Caenorhabditis elegans: one gene and its partner. The protein of the gene in region 1 interacts with the protein of each later gene in a pairwise test. Each region holds a gene or a part of one and is shown in the gene's direction. Other genes may lie near its edges. The genes, in order: ppm-1.A and dpy-17.

What was found.
Region 2: the proteins of ppm-1.A (region 1) and dpy-17 interact in a two-hybrid assay, tested with the Caenorhabditis elegans proteins (one large-scale study listed by BioGRID).

Annotation. Positions count from the first base shown.
Region 1 is NC_003283.11:10,532,326-10,538,179, reverse strand, and holds ppm-1.A (Protein phosphatase ppm-1.A), read left to right. Parts: upstream 1-1,791; 5' UTR 1,792-2,195; coding exon 2,196-2,343; intron 2,344-2,869; coding exon 2,870-3,030; intron 3,031-3,133; coding exon 3,134-3,202; intron 3,203-3,249; coding exon 3,250-3,510; intron 3,511-3,560; coding exon 3,561-3,627; intron 3,628-3,689; coding exon 3,690-4,051; intron 4,052-4,459; coding exon 4,460-4,798; 3' UTR 4,799-5,290; downstream 5,291-5,854. Other genes in the region: txt-10 (MFS transporter), read left to right, coding at 5,355-5,590, 5,638-5,854. UniProt on the Caenorhabditis elegans protein: Probable phosphatase which regulates axon termination in ALM and PLM neurons, and synaptic branch extension and/or stabilization in PLM neurons.
Region 2 is NC_003281.10:5,105,472-5,109,035, forward strand, and holds dpy-17 (Cuticle collagen dpy-17), read left to right. Parts: upstream 1-1,858; 5' UTR 1,859-1,861; coding exon 1,862-2,276; intron 2,277-2,328; coding exon 2,329-2,972; 3' UTR 2,973-3,020; downstream 3,021-3,564. Other genes in the region: F54D8.6 (C2H2-type domain-containing protein), read left to right, coding at 1-384, 471-585, 861-971, 1,027-1,125, 1,193-1,349. UniProt on the Caenorhabditis elegans protein: Secreted collagen that forms part of the nematode cuticle, which functions as an exoskeleton and a barrier to protect the worm from its environment.

The DNA of each region.
Region 1 (5,854 bases):
AAAAATACTTTTTTGCTGCTTTTTTATCCCTCTGAAGATATAAGTCGGAGGAAAAACATGCAAAACGTCTTTGATAACATTGCCGGAGGCCAGAACTCCGTGAAATTTATTGGTAATAAATAATAACTATTTATTGGATGAATGATTTTTCCAGTAAAACTGCAAAATTAACGTTGTACGAGAAATGCACAAAAAACTAAAATTTAAACTTCCGCTAGTATGTCGTTTCCGAATGGAGCGCATTTGCATCTCGCCCAAAACTTCTAGAATTATTTCTAGATTTCTTCAATTGATTCGTTTCAATTCCGATCAGGGGTGTGCGGCAAATTTGCCGATTTGCCGAAAATTGCCGACTTGCCGAGCTCGGCAAATTTACCGATTTGCCGAATTCGGCAAATTTACCGATTTGCCGAGTTCGGCAAATTTTAAAAAACCAGCAATTGCCGATTTGCCGAGCTCGGCAATTTTCAAAAAAGTAGATTTGCCGAATTTGCCGAGCTCGGCAAATTTCGAAATTTGCCGCACACGTCAAAAATTTGACAGTACAATTTTGACTAAAACTATTGATTTTTTAGCCAAAAATTTAGTAAAATGACACAAAATTGAGCTATTTTGATGCTTAAACAGACATACTACGCGGAACTTATTCAGAAACCAGATGTGTGTTAAGAATTCAGTAGTTTTGGTGCTCCAAAAAACATAAAAAATATCAAATTTTTCCGAGTTTGTTAAGCACGGCAAATTTGCCGAATTTGCCGAATTTGCCGAGCTTGGCAAATTTGCCGAATTTGCCGTGCTCGGCAAATATTGAAAAAAGAGATTTGCCGAATTTGCCGAGCTCGGCAAATTTTGAAAAACCAGCAATTGTCGATTTGCCGAGCTCGGCAATTTTTTCCATTTGCCGCACACCCCTGATTCCGATGTGACCTTTTTTGTATGCATTTTTTACAGTTTCACAAATAAGATTTTTTCTGACGTATGTATTTTTAAATTAACCCCTATTGAGATTTAGGAAGCTAATGAGAAAAAAGCTTTCATTTCGTTCGATAAAAATGCATTTGAATCGCCTCTATTTTCCAATTGCGTTAACTATCGCTTGCTGACGCGCTTTTTGTGCGCTTGTATTGACGCGTTTCAATTTTTCTACTGCACTCGTTCGTTTCTCCAAGTGTGCGTGTGTGCCCTCGATTCGACCGCATCTTTCGATTGTTTTCCTCTCTCAGTTTGCCTCTTTTCTCCCTGTCCATGTGGACGACGACGTTAAAGACAGAAAAGAAAGAAGGACGGGAATAAAAGGAGCCGTCACTCGAAACACTTTTCCTTTTTGGAAAACAGACGGTGATGGCGCGGGAAGACACCACAAATCTGATTTCGTCATACCTCTTTCTCACATTTTAACTTTCCGATTATGAAAAACTTTCCTCGCACTCTCTGTTGCTATCAAAATTATACGTTAATACAAAATCGGCGATTTAGCAAAATTTAAATTATTTCAAAAACTGGAAAAGCTCACTAATGATTTATTAACCCAGTTAGCCTATTTTTATTTGTCAAAAATTAAAAGTAGAACAGTAGTTCTCAACGAAATCGGCGATACAATACATTTTTGCCGTAATATTTTTACTGATAAGAAAGAAAGTTTTTCATTTCTACACAAGAATGTAAGTTCCTGTGGCTCCGCTGATTCGTTGCTTTTTTCATTTTTTTACTCGAAAAAGAACACAAATAGCTTTATCTAATTTAACGTCATATTATCCACGTGATTTTCTTCTACTCTCCTCAATTTTTTTTCATGATTTCCAACTTCTTCGAAATGAGATAATTTCTGTACGTGAGAGAAATAATGTATCTGGCACGTCAGCAGTCTCTCTAGGCAGGTCACTCTTTTTTAAAAGCACGAGTTTCACGGTCTTTTCTGAAGAGTAGTTATCACTTTCCTCCGTCCTCCGACCAATAACTTTGTACAAAGTTGATTTGCTACCCTTGCTGTCCATAAAGACCAGAAATAAATTGTGTACATTCAAAAGTCGCAAGACGTTAAATCGAACTCTAAAAACCAACCCATTGAATTTGATCCGCCCACTACTCGGGAAGTCGGTGGTGGAAAGGAACAGTAGTGCGTATTTGAATATATCGTCGTCATCTTCTTCGTTGTCCTGTTTTCGTCTTTTGATATATTTTTTCCCCCGAGAAGAATGACGATTTCACGTGCAGATTTGCAAATCGCGTCTTCTGCTGAACCGAAGACTCACGGAAATCTCAACGAATCATTTGCTCCGGAAATTCGGCAAACTGCGTCCACGATTGCTTCGCTATCTATTTTCGGAACTCCCTCGGACCAAGGTAAAGATATTTAGTTTTAGGAATATACATGGGTCTTGGATAATGTGCCGAAATCTTATTGTGTTTGAACTTAACCTTTATGAATCAGTGTTCTCTGAAAGATAATATTGTGGTCGTCATTGTTTTGCATGTTTATTACTTTTTACCGTCATTGAATTTTAATGTAAAATATACAAAAAAAAATGATGTCATGTTTGTCTTTCTATCAAAAAGTTAACTTGAAATTCGATGACTTCACGTGTGTTCTGCCAGCGGTAATTGTTAGTTTCTCTGCTTTCCCGCTCTCTCCATCTCCGTATCTCAACCGTGAACACTATTTTCTCTCATGGTTTTTCTCACCAATACCCATGTATATTCTTTCAATTCCACATAATTCGTCACGAGTAATCAATGCATGAGTCGGTTTGTTTTTTGAAGCGAAAAGCTATAATGCTTCGTGGCCGCTTCTTTTTTGTTTCTGCGTTAACCTGTTCGGCTGTTGCGACGGCAGCGTCAACCTTTCTCTCCACAGTTAATTTATTTTCAGAGTGCCAGCCCATTCCGGTGGTGCCTCGAAGCAGTAGCAGCGACGAGCTTCGTGTTTGGCGAGTTACCAGTGCGGGTTTAGTAGAAGTCGACGCGAAGACGATGGGAGCGTTTCTCGACAAACCGAAAACCGACAAAACTAACGTCCATGGAGAAGGAAATGTGAGTTTCTGAGAACCATCTGGGTATGCAGTTAAATCATATGTGACTCAAAATTTTAAATATATTTTTTCTTTCCGGATATGAATTTAAAAACAATTTTTAGGGAATCAGATATGGAATGTCGTCTATGCAGGGCTGGAGAATATGTATGGAAGATTCACACATTGCTGAGGTTAGACTTTTAATTGAGTTAATCTATGAAAAATTGCTTCGTTACAGGCTATAATGTCTCAATCCTCCCCCTACAAGGATTGGTCATTCTTTGCCGTTTTCGATGGACATGCTGGACACCACATCGCCAATCGAGCATCGTCGCAGCTTCTTGAACACCTCATTTCAAGCGAAGAGTTTCGTGAGATGACCAAAACTTTGGAGGAAAACAACGGAGTTCTCACAGACAGTACACTAAAACTGCTCGAAAAGGGAATCAAGAAAGGATTCTTGAGTTTTGATGAAATCAGTAAAACGAGCAATGATATCGTAAGTTAATCTGCCGGATAACATTTTCCACTCCATTTTTATATTTTCAGAGTAAAAGCGGATGTACAGCAGTGTGTGCCATTGTCACTCCAACTCATTTCATTATCGGAAATCTCGGTATGTCATTAAAATGTTGCACAAAAGATTGAATAAAGACTTTCAATAAATCATGTTTTCAGGAGACTCCCGTGCGGTTGTTGCTGGAAAAAATGAAATTTTCGGTACCGAGGACCACAAACCATATCTGGAAAAGGAGAGAAAACGAATTGAGGGTGCTGGTGGTTCTGTTATGATTCAAAGAATAAATGGAAGTCTGGCCGTAAGCAGAGCATTCGGAGACTACGAGTATAAAGATGATCCGCGACTACCTGCTGATCAACAACTTGTCTCTCCTGAACCAGATGTTTACATCCGAGAGAGAAATCTTGAAAATGATCAGTTTATGGTTGTTGCATGTGACGGAATCTACGATGTGATGACGAATGAAGAACTCGCAGAGTTTGTGAAAGATCGCCTTTCAGTTCACTCTGATTTGAGAGAGGTATTTTTTGTACTTGAACAAACCGATATGCAATCATTTTCCAAAATTAATTACCAAAACTAAAAAGTTTTGTTTTGAATTCCGTTTTAAAAATTGTATCTCACTCCGAGAAACAGTGACATTTTAAAAAGTGCTCTTATTTTTCGAAAACCGACTCGAAGTTTCAATATTTTTGCTGGAAAGAATTGTAACGACATTTCTCAAAATGTGAGAAAATGTAATAAAAATCTTTTCCACCCTTATTTATCCATTTTAAACCTTCCACGTGGCATATTTTTATGATTTGGATTCATGAATTTCTCAGTTTTAGAACAAAACGTAAATTTTTGAATAAATACAAAAATTTCCAATTGGAAGTAGAGGAATAATTTCCAGTCTAGAAACTTAAATAATTGCAAAATTATTCAGGTGTGCGACGATGTTCTCGACGAATGCCTTGTGAAAGGAAGTCGGGATAATATGACGATGGTGGTTGTATGTTTCCCTGCTGCACCAGAAGTCAATATTCATCGAAAAGAAGCCGAGGAAGCATGGGTGTCCCGAGTGAAGACTGTTATAAATCAATTCCTCGATGAGGCTGTTGCTGCGGAAGACTTCAAACAAGAAGAAGACATGGTCACTCTCAAGAGCATTCTGGATAAAGTAACAGCAAATGGACTGTTGCCAACTGATTTGCGTGTTCCTGAACATACAGTTACTACGCTGGCCCAGAAAATTCTGACACAACGTGACATCAAGCATGTGTAACTCTCATGGCTTCTACTCTATTCCCAAACTTTAAAAAAGTACACTTTCCTCACTTTTATCCCGTTGCTCTTATCTAATTCATTAAACCAGCTCGTCCAAATTTAAAACGGAGCCTCTCCCCAAATGAACAAATTTTATAATTTTATCAATCCTAGCATTGTTTCATTTGGAAAACGAAATTTGTGCCAATTTTCTTTCTCATCATACCAAAATCTTCCACTTGTTTGTTAAGTTATATCTATATTTCTTCATCAATCATTTAAGGTTAATTGTTTTATCCGCTCTTTTGCGAAAATAGTATTTTCTGTCAAATTCACCTACAAACACTCCCATCAAGATTCAGAATATACCCAACCAATCGTTTTCCCCCTATTCTCGCTGTTATATTTGTCTAAATCGCACCAAAATATTATTTACGGATTCATCATTTCCATCATTTGTATAATTTACTAGATAATTGGATAGAATGAAAAAATTGATGTGTCAAATGCAGATTCTTTCATATTACTACTCAACTTCATTCAGATTGCTCTATTTTCATTGTCCTTCCATCGACATGCGTCTTGCTCTTATTCTAGCACTTGTGTCTTCTCTTCAGATATTTCAACAGTCAAGTGTTGATCCTAAAGAATTTCAAACTATTTGGCAGATTTCTCTTGTAACAGCTGCATTTCCAATTGGGAAGTTTATTGCAACTTGTTTTCTCTCTTTTCACGAAGTCAAACTACACGAAGAACTTGATAAATGTGCCCGATTACTTCTTCTCGGAGCAATAATTTCAGCGATTCCCATGTTAGATCTCACATTTTTATCGTTTTCGTTAAATTTTATTTATTAAGTTTCCAAACGACTTGCTCATTTGTTGGCCGTTTCGTGATGGGATATTCAGCTGGAAGTGGTTTTGTTTGTGCTCCTGCAGTACTTCGACTTGCTGTACCTGAGAGCATGAGACCTACAAACTTTTTATTTTTAGCCGCAGCCTTTTCAATGGGAACTTTTCTTGCAAATTCCATGTTTTTACTTTCAGAATTGATATCTCCAACTTTTCTTTCTGCA
Region 2 (3,564 bases), on another chromosome or scaffold:
GTGGTAATAGGGATCGTGGTGAAAAGGTTCGGAGCAAGTCGCCAGTTACAGGAGTTGATAGACCACCAGGTGGAGACAGAATTGAACGAAGTAGGGATCGAGAACCGGGTGGTGGTGTTCCTGGGGTTGATCGGGCGCCAGGCAGAGGATCTCGTGGAATCGATCGCCCACCTGGAGGTGATTCTCGTGGTGTTGATCGACCACCTGGAGGTGGAGGAATTCCTGGAGTAGATCGGCCACCAGGAGGTGGAAGGCGCGGAGTTGATAGACCACCAGGATCTGGAATGCCTGGAATCGATCGGCCACCTGGAGGGGATCGAATGGGTGATAAGCAAAGAAGAGGAGCGAGAGGAGGTGTTAAGGAAAGAGAAAGAAAACGAAGAAGTAAGTTTATTCAACCTTTATTCCACGAAAATTCGAAATCCTTATGTTTTTTTTTAAATATTTTTAAATAACGCTTTATTTTTCAGGAGATGAATTCCAGCGAGGAGGTGGTGGTGGTGGCCGAGGCGGTGGCCGTGATGGTGGAAGAGATTATGGTGGTCCTCCGCAAAAATCTGGGCGACGTGATCGATATGATGATTAGTGAGTTCAGCAATGAGCAGAGATATAAAACACATTGAGAAAGTATACGAAAGCCCCTTTTTCTCAGCTATCTCGGAAAGTAACTTTACTTTCAATTGAAATTTTCGAAAATTTGCTCTAAAACTGACTCAAATAATGCCGATCGACACTTCACGACTTTGAGGCAGTTTGTCAAAAACTTCTCGAAGCCTTCAATTAAACATAAAAAAGTATTTGTGACTATTCGCGTTTCGAAACCCCAAAAAAATTTCAATTTTTCAAAATCTCGATTTCAGCGATCGATCGTATCAAGGAACAAGTGGATATGGACAAGATTATGATTCACAAACATATGGAGAACGTGGTTACGATGGACATTATCAAGGACAAGAGGATTATTATGGAAGGTAATAAAATTAAATATTTTAAAATGAAATTAATTAAATTTAATAAACGTTTCAGTCAAGAAGGATATGGAGAATATAATCAGCAACACTACGGTGAAGGATACGATCAACAAGGATATGGGCAAAATGGAGATTCATATTATGGACATGAAGGGTAAGGAAAATCACTTTTTTAATTGTTTGAATTGTATTTTTATTCAAAAATAATTACCTATTTTCAGCCAAGATGCATCGACATATTACCAAGAAGATGGCAGTCAATACTACAATCAATACTACGGTACTGCTCCTGCAGAAGGTGAAGCTTCAGCTGTAACTGGAACGGATTATCATGCAACATTCAGTGTACCACCACCACCGGCTCCCCCTCCGTCATAAATTTAAGAATTGGGAAAACTAAATATTTTTGAATCAAAAAACTTCCTTTTTCAATATTTTCTTCAATTCTTTCCCGATTTCTTTCAATTTCAATAGTTGACTTTTATTTATTTTTAATTTATAAAATTTCTTATATTCTTCTTCCTCCTTCTATTGTATGAATATTAAAAACAGGTCCTTCGACCCGAAAAATCCCCTTCTCAAATCTAGGTCATCATATCGGAGATAACGGACAATTATGCATAATATTCGAGATGATTATCATATCGGTCATATGAGGGGGCGGAGTCTCGCATACAGTAGTCCTTTGTCCTTGTGCGAGGGAGTTTATGAGTATAAAAGGGTCCCTGAGAGAGGAGAAATGGACACTTTTATCAAAACATTTTCCATCTTTGTTTATTTTGACGATATTTATTCGCTGATACGAATTTTTGCAATTTTTATCCCGGATACCGTATTTCTTGGCAATTCAGATTACGCGCAAATTCTAGAATAAACATGTTTTCCAGATCATGTCAGTGTTCGCGGGATATGCCGCGTGCACCCTCGGTGCCGTTTCGATGCTTCTCTGCGTCTCTCTTGTCCCACAAGTCTATCAGCAAGTCTCGATGCTCCGGGACGAGTTGACGACTGAAATGGAGGCATGGCGTCTCGAGTCCGATCAAATCTACATGGATATGCAGAAGTTCGGACGTGTCCGTCGTCAAGCCGGAGGATACGGTGGATATGGTGGATACGGTAGCGGACCATCTGGACCATCCGGACCATCTGGACCACACGGTGGATTCCCAGGAGGCCCACAAGGACACTTCCCAGGAAATACTGGATCATCGAACACCCCAACTCTTCCAGGAGTTATTGGAGTTCCACCATCAGTTACTGGACATCCAGGAGGAAGCCCAATCAACCCAGATGGATCCCCATCTGGTAAGTATAGAAAAAATAGTCCAAAGATCTTATATAAATTGAACATTTACAGCTGGACCAGGAGACAAGTGCAATTGCAACACCGAAAACTCATGCCCAGCTGGACCAGCCGGACCAAAGGGAACTCCAGGACATGATGGACCAGATGGAATTCCAGGAGTTCCAGGAGTTGACGGAGAAGATGCTGATGATGCCAAGGCTCAGACTCAACAATACGATGGATGCTTCACTTGCCCAGCTGGACCACAAGGACCACCAGGATCCCAAGGAAAGCCAGGAGCCCGTGGAATGCGTGGAGCCCGTGGACAAGCCGCTATGCCAGGAAGAGACGGATCCCCAGGAATGCCCGGATCTTTGGGACCAATTGGACCACCAGGAGCCGCTGGAGAAGAAGGACCAACTGGAGAGCCAGGAGCCGATGTTGAACACCAAATCGGACTTCCAGGAGCCAAGGGAACTCCAGGAGCACCAGGAGAGTCTGGAGATCAAGGAGAGCAAGGAGATCGTGGAGCAACTGGAATTGCTGGACCACCAGGAGAGCGTGGACCACAGGGAGAGAAGGGAGATGATGGACCAAATGGAGCCGCTGGAAGTCCAGGAGAGGAAGGAGAGCCAGGACAAGATGCTCAATATTGTCCATGCCCACAGAGAAACACCAACGCCGCTGTCTCTGGAAACCAAGGATACAGAAACTAATTTCACATTATTATTTGTGATTTGTGTTGTTGAAGAAAATAAATTATTTTATTCTCATAACTTTTTTCAATCGAAGGATGTTTTCAGAGAAGCATGTTATCCTAGTTCAGATAATCTCAAGAAATAGGCTTACTATAACAGAAAAAGTTAACTGAATTGCAAACATTTTCAGATAGTAGAAATATAATCAAAACACTTCCAAGCTTTGAAATAGAATACTAAAATATTAAAAAAAAAAACACCCTATTTCCCCAACGAAAATGTTTTGTTACTATTTAATTGAACGATTGTGAACCTATTTTACAAAAAAAGCATTTTGATCTACCAGTTGAACTCAACATATATTTATTTTCAAAAGAATTTCAAAAGATAGATCAAAATAGTTTATCTGAGTTTTTTCATTAATTTTTCCCATGAAAACAGATTCAATACTTGCGAGCATCCTTCTTGTCTCTCTTTCAATGATGCCCGACAAGACACACAGAAACTGTTTCTTTCTCTGCCGTCTCTTATGTATAGAGTGTCCCGAACAGCTGTTTGGAAACGATGGCCGAGTCTGAATGGCCTTGTCTTTTTCTCTTCTCGGCCAGTT